Linked DNA regions of Oreochromis niloticus. The protein of the gene in region 1 binds, or shares a complex with, the protein of each later gene. Links are inferred from orthologs where the notes say so. Each region holds a gene or a part of one and is shown on either strand. Other genes may lie near its edges.

Region 1 (3,756 bases):
CACTGAAGACTTCATTAGTTACACCTTGCTCACACTAAGTTGGGCCCCCTTTTTTCATCAGAACTGCCTTAATTATTTGTGTCACAGACTCAACAAGGTGCTGACCATAGCTTTAGTTTTATGTTCTTGGTTGATAGGAGTGGCATCCAGTGTGCTGCTGGAGCCCATCTGCTTCAAGGTTCAGTGGTTATTTGAATTACTGTTGCCTTACTATAATCTTGAAACAGTCTTTTTTCTCTTTTTTGGACCTTTCTTTGTAAACACTAGAGATGGCTGAGTGGGGAAATTCCTAAAAGAGCCAGACCAGCCCATCTGGCACCAACAACCAACACGTTCAAAGCCACTATAACCTTTCATCCCCATTCTGATCCTTGGTTTGAACTTCATTAGTTCATCTTGGCCTTGGCTATCTGCCTGTACATTTAGATATGGACTACATGTCTATGCATGTAGTTGCTGCCATGAGATTGGCTGATTAGAGAATTACCTTAATAATCAGTCAAACCATTGCACTTAACAAAGTGCAGTACAGTCCAGTGAGTCTGTACTGGATACAGAAGTTAAGAGTGTTATTGATTTGGTTAATCTGAGTGAACTTTGATGTGCTAATGCTGTCTGGTAAACAGAACATGTCTCGTAGCTTTATGTAACATCATAATGTGTTTTGTAAATGACCGCACTTTGCATGGACAATACAGCAAGGACGAAATTATAACTACAATTTTAAAAAGTTGAGGTGGTGTTAGGAAGTGAACTGTTAGGTAATACTATTTTAATCCAGATTCTGCATTATTCTGAAAGCAAAGCCCATTTTATATGTAAAGAAGGGTAGCAAATTAAAAAGAAATGTCTTTCAGCAATATGGTGGCATGTAAGTCTAAAGTAGCATATTATTAAAAAAATGTCCAGTACAAGCTTAAAGGAAACAATTTAACAAATGCACATATCAGCAAAACATTAAAACCAGTTGTTGCTATAAGTCGCCTTTGTGCTGCCCTTTAACTGCACACAAATGCTGTGTTGTAACCTCAAGCTGAGTGTTTTGTCATCTTGCTGTGGATGTGACATGTAAGGGATTGATCCAACTGAGGGACACTCACAGTATTGTGGTGATTTCTCAGACAAGGTAGGCCTACCTAGTAGGATATTCTATGTTGTTGTTCTTTTTGACTTTTGACATTTTGACTCTTTTTGGGAACTATTAGATAATATCATTACCAATGCGACTATTGGTATCGAATTGATACTAGCATGATAGAATCAATACTGTTCTATTATCTGAGTTCAGTATGCAGCTCACTGCCAATTTTTTAAATAGCCTATAGCACATTTAAACCACAGAAGGTGACCCAAAGCGCTTTAGAGACAGACACATTTACGTTACATCCATCATTTGTACACAGTTCATTTCTGGGCTATTAATGCATGAACATGGGTCCTTTGGTCTTGTGGGTGTGTCCACTGTGGATCTGGTCTATTCTGGCTCATTCGTGGATGTTCAGATTGAGATCTGAGGAGTTTGATTTATGCAAATTAGCTGTTCTTAGCAGTTTTTTGGGGTGGCAAGATGCACTGTCCTGCAATAGGAGGATGCTGCCATTGGAGGGTGCTAGAGAATTGTTTGGTGGATAGACACCTGTAAAAGTAACATTCACAAGGTTTTCCATGAAAACTCTGCATTGCGAAGAGATAATGAATGTATTCATTTCATCTGTCAGTTGTTTTATTGTTGTGGTTAATCAGTTATGACCCATGTTAGCTGCAGAACCCCCCCCCCCACCAAAGAGTTAATTAGGTCTCTCCGGGTCCCTCAACACCACATTCACTGGTGAGAAGGCCCAGCAGTCCATCTATTTTCTGTGGAAGGTGAGAAAAGTCCATCCATCCATCCTAACGACAATACAGGGTTGACTATTAAGAGTATCCCAAGCAGCTGCATAACTATCTGACATGGGAACGGTACAGTATCAGATCACAAAATCCTTGCAGTGAATAGTGAAAAGTGAAAACAGCTGAAAGAATCACCAGTTTCTTTCCCCACCTTCAAGGTCATATCCCACAAACTCTGTATTCACAAAGCCACCATCATTGTGTATGATCCCACACACACCTGACGCAAACCTTTTACTCTCCTGCCACCTCACAAGAGGTACCAGAACATCTAGGCCCTCAGTTCCAGTCAGTGCAACGGTTTCTTCCATTAGGCCTCAGAAAGCTCAGTACTCAGGGTCTGGACTGGAAACTCATGCACATAGAAGTGAACACCCTATGAATCAACTAGACTAGTAACATACATACACACTGAAGCAAATGGACACACTTTACACAATCATACTTAAATTGTTGTGTACATTTCTGCACACATAGTGCAATTAAATTTTACTTAATGCCAAATCAAAAGTAGCTTTATATTTTAAGGTAAAGAACCTACAATAACAGAGAGAAAACTGCTACAATCAAATGACCCTCTATGAGCAAGCAATTGGTGACAGTGGGAATAAAAAACTCCCATTTAACAGGAAGAAACCTCTGGCAGAACCAGGCTCAACAAGGGGAGGCCATCTGCAGTGACTAGCTGGGCATGATGGGAGGGAGACAGGCCAAAAGACACACTGTGGAAACCAACCAGCCAACTTTACCATGTAGAAAAACGGCATAGGTGTGATGTTGAAATTGCACTAATTGTTTCTTATATTAAAGGGGAATAAATGTGCTATTAAACGTCTTTACGTTCAGAGAAAGGGGGTTTTGTAAAGTTGGCTGTATGTGGCCCACGATGTAAAAGGAATGTATTCAATTCAATTTGAATTCAATTTATGAGGCCGATTCTGGGCCCCGAGCCTCATGTTTGACACCCAAGACCTAAACAGAATTATAATCCCTTTTACTTTTATGGCTCTTACACTAACTAGAAGCATTGATGTTGTCCAGTGTAAACTAGCATTTTTAAAACTGATTTGGACCCCTCACCTGCCCAGGAACCAGCATCTCACCTGGTAGCCTACAGTCGAAAAGTAACCAAGAATGAAAGATCATGAAATACCTAACCTGTACTGCGTCGTTGCTCTATTTTTAAGAAAAGGACAGTTTTTGTTTCCATACTTTTCTGGGCTCCATTATGTTACCGTTTGACACTTTTTATTAACAGCTGCGATCTCGCTGTGAGTGCAGCAGACATCATGTGATGGAGGAGTGGCCAACGGAAAAAATCAGGAAGCACATCGACGCAAGAAACAAGTCACGAGAAAGGTAAAGTTCAAACTTTTACGCAACTCAAGTAAACTTTTAGTCATTCTTGACAATTTCACTGACGTTTTAGACGACCAACGCATTTTTACGAGGCTGTTTCGTATTTTTAAGTTTGTTTGTTTTTTTGCAACGAAAAGCGACAAACATCTTCATACTGACTTCTCTTGTAACTTCATGACTCTTAAACCCGCTAATGTTAAAATGAAGAGCAGTGTACAGGTAACATTAGAACAGCGTTAACCCCAACAAACACAAGTAGGTCATAACTAAGTATTTGCACTTCATCCGTTCATGTTGATGGCATAAAAAAAAATACTCTGCTGATTTCCGCATTTTTTCCTTGTTGGCAAGGAGACAGAATCAGCCTCAGAACATGCACGTTAGTTTCATTAACCCTAATCACACTTTAATTTTTCATTAAAGCAAACGAGAAATATCCCGTCACTGTGACAGTTTCTTAGCAGGTGGTTATTTGCATACTAGGTTTCAGTCTTTTTTGAGTCAGGA
Region 2 (3,756 bases), on another chromosome or scaffold:
ATGGCTACAGCTCTACAGTTTTCCAAAGTGATACCAGCAGTGCTTTTATTTTGTTAAACTGACAGTCTACAGCTCATAATGGTGAACAATAAATTAAATATTTATACATTTTCACATTTAGAGAAACTACAGTTACATAATTTGGGGTATTTTGCACGCGTTGCACCATAAAACAGTTAAAATACATTAATATTTTCTTTGTTTGGATGTAGTTTTGATCATGTTTATATTGCAAACATCTACGTTTTGTAAATGGAACACAGATAGTGTGAGACACAAGTAGTAGAATTTTAAAGTAACTACCCTGAGCAGGACAGAAAGAGCGACCTCTTGTGGATGAAATAGGCACTTCTGCAGATATCACTTCATAATTGTAACACTTAAACATCCACATGAGGATGGCCCTGCTTATATTATCGGAGCTACTGAGACCCTATCGTTGCAGATCACCTGGTCAAAGTCTGCTAAATGTCCCACGCTTTTACTTTAAAATCAGAGACGATCACGTTTTTGAGGCAATAGTGCCCAAACTTTGTAATAACCTTCAGCATTATGGTCACATTTTACCTGTTCTTACCTGATCAGCTGAATCCGTAATTTGTTTTAAACAACTGCCGAAAACATTTGTTATATATATTTTAGTGTTCTCTTAATGATTTCCCCATTATTCGGACCTTAGCTTGCATCTATTTGTGTGTAAGTTAAATATGTATGTTAGAATGGACGTCTGACCGGATGGTGTGTGGTGTCTAAAACCAGTGTTCTTTAAAAAGTGGTACACAAATAAAGTTATTATTGTTGATGTTATTGTTGTCGTCGGCGTTGTTGTTGTTTGTTCTTCCACTCTTCATTTATTCCCCTTTTTGTGTGGTATATGCTTAAAGTCTATGTTAAGGCATCAGTACTCAGCTAGTGTAATGCATTAACGGAAACAAGGCGAGAACTATTTTGGAGTCTTCTGTCGTCACTGAAGCTAATGACACCTTAACGCTGTCGACGAAGAAGAAAGGCGATCACGTGTCTGCCACGTGAACAGCTGATCGTGACGTCATTCACCAACAAGCAACATGGCGGAGTGGAACAGAGGTAAATGTTTTGACACGTATTCACTTCCAAATATTCAGTTGTGTGTTATTTGTGTCAGCTTAGAGATGATATTACAGCTGGGTGGTACATTTTAAAATGTTATTTTTGAGTATCGTTTGCTCGTATAATACCCAAATCTCAAGAGCTGAGTTTATAGGCTAACTAGCTCTGACATACTTAAAGATTAGCAAAAAGCAAGGCTACCTTGTAAGTTTCATATCAGTTGCTTTCGCCCACTAAAGAAGCATCTGCCTCTCTGAAGGGTGATAAAAAGTGATATTATTATCATTAGTATTATTATTATCATTATTATCTTATTAGTTTCCCAAATATGGGAGAACGAATACTCCTTGGCAGTGTTGTAAGTTTACTTCACGTCGTTATTCCGTGCTTAGCTTAAAGGGCTGGATATATAAAGAACATCCCTTCAGCAGAGACTCTGCACCACACTCCGATCATGCTGATATCAAAGTCATTGATGAAAAAGTGTTGCTTCCTGTTGATTTAAACCGAAAATTAGAAACATTATATATTCTTTAACAAGTTATGTGTTCAGAACTATGTGCATGGCAAAAACTGTATCTTCTGAGGTCTATCTGCGGTTTTCAACAGAAACATAACAATTCAAGGAACATTCAGATCTTGTGTGTCATATCTAATCCACGGTGTTTGTGCTTGTCCAGGCCATGGCTCTGTGGATGATGTGCTCGATGCTGAAAACAAACGGCTGGCAGAGAACCTGGCCAACAAAGTCTCCAGACTGAAATCTGTGCGTAACAACCAACAACCGTCCCCTTCAGCTACCAGTCTGATTAATAAATCAGCTGGTCTGTAGTTATTAGGTTACTGCTGTCAAATGTACTCAGTTTTAATTATAACTAAAGCTGTCAGTTCCAGGAATCAGAATTATTAATTATCCCAAACACAACCAGTTTTGTTATTTAATGTACTGATACATGGCTGATTGCTTGTAAGAATTTTAGCTGTAACCAAATGCATCACTGGTGTAATGGTTGTCTTTTATTAATAAATGTACAGTATTGTGGAAATGTGAAAATTGTACAACCAGTGCCTCCAGTGTAAGATGGGACACCATCAGGCACTTCTACATAGTTACATGATATTAAGATTTTCTTACACCAAGCTTCAGGCTCTTCCTGGTTCAGAACAATCCTCTGGGTATTCACTGTACACTAATGAAAACAACTTGTTTACATAGAGTCAAGGCAATTAGTCTGTCTACCATACATCTATAAAGATTACTGTTATTTCTTTAGACTGATTCAAAATTTCTATTTTGCTTAAATAAATGACTCATAATTGGTTTAAATCTTGTAGACATTGTCCCTGATTAAAACCTCTTTGGGGATCCAGAAAATATTTTATGCATGTTCACAGACTTTGACAAATGACTCGTGTCTGTTTTTAGCAAAGAGTTGTGTTTTAAATCCCTACAACGTCCTGTTTAGTTGGACATCTTCCAATCTGCACTTAAGCTGGTTAGGTACTAAGTGACAGAGCAACAGCCTAAAAGGATAACGGGTAACCAAGAAGATGTTTGCTTTCCTGTTCTACATTTTCCTCTGCTGTGCAATTCGCTTTTCAGAATCTGCTCTCATGTTCTTTCTTCTGCCTGTAATCTAACCCTGAGATGATGTAAAACTTCACTTGTTACAAATGATTGCTTATTAGTACATTTTTGCACAAGATTCCACATTTTAGGACATGATCAAAATAATCTAAAATAAAAAATAATAGTCCTTACAGGTTTCCAAATGGTTCAAATTCAGCCTCAGGTGAGCAAGAACATATGTCATTGGAATTAAGAGAGTAAGTAGCACCCGGGTGAAAGTGAGATGGCCTCCATAAAAGGAAACGTTTTGACAGTTTGCTGGTCTGCCGCAGTCAGACTTCTACAACTAACTTGATCATCTTCTTGTCTCTGTATCTCGCAGTTGGCTTACGACATCGACAGAGATGTGGACGATCAGAATGAGTACCTGGATGGCATGGTGAGCATTTCCTGCCTTAAACACAATTATAGTTAATCTTTTAGTAAAAAAGAACTGACATTTTAATTTCTCCCATTTGTCTATAAACAGAATATTGTTTTAAATATTCACTGATTTTCACCCTGTTCTATTTTCACGACAGCTCCTCTGAACTGTTTAGTGAAGTGTTTGACCATCGATCCACAGGTTTCACTGGGACCTAACATTCAGGAAAAATTTTATAGAGTCCCAGTATAAAAAATGAGCACTGTGTTGATTGTCAGAATCTGTGTGGATTGATACATTTGGTAAACAGAGTGCACATTATATAAGTACAAATTAATACTGTCGGCTGTTTTATTTTTTCTCTTAGGTTAATTTATTGTCAGTTATTAAAGAATTATCTCATCTTTCTTTTAGGACTCAAACTTCATGAGTGCGACAGGCCTGCTCACTGGCAGCGTGAAGCGTTTCTCCACCATGGTCCGATCAGGACGAGACAACCGCCGTATCCTGTGTTACGTCTCCATGGGGCTGGTCCTGGTCTTCTTTGTTCTTTACTACCTGGTATCCAAGATCCACCAATGACTGAGAAAACAAGATCAACCAGGCTCTGATATGGAGCTGAGACTTTAGACTGTAATGTCAAAACTGATTTAAATAAAGACTTTTTTTATTG

What was found. Proteins that work in one complex are often made in the same cells at the same time.
Region 2: syntaxin-7 (region 1) and bet1l share a complex: the UniProt entries of both Homo sapiens proteins name them as parts of the SNARE complex. The link is inferred for Oreochromis niloticus from reciprocal best matches to the Homo sapiens genes STX7 and BET1L.

Annotation. Positions count from the first base shown.
Region 1 is NC_031980.2:5,913,642-5,917,397, forward strand, and holds the start of syntaxin-7, read left to right. Parts: upstream 1-1,012; 5' UTR 1,013-1,126; intron 1,127-3,148; 5' UTR 3,149-3,249; intron 3,250-3,756. UniProt on the Homo sapiens protein: May be involved in protein trafficking from the plasma membrane to the early endosome (EE) as well as in homotypic fusion of endocytic organelles. Mediates the endocytic trafficking from early endosomes to late endosomes and lysosomes.
Region 2 is NC_031972.2:40,860,592-40,864,347, forward strand, and holds the start of bet1l (BET1-like protein), read left to right. Parts: upstream 1-961; 5' UTR 962-1,067; coding exon 1,068-1,086; intron 1,087-1,769; coding exon 1,770-1,855; intron 1,856-3,041; coding exon 3,042-3,098; intron 3,099-3,497; coding exon 3,498-3,665; 3' UTR 3,666-3,756. UniProt on the Homo sapiens protein: Vesicle SNARE required for targeting and fusion of retrograde transport vesicles with the Golgi complex. Required for the integrity of the Golgi complex.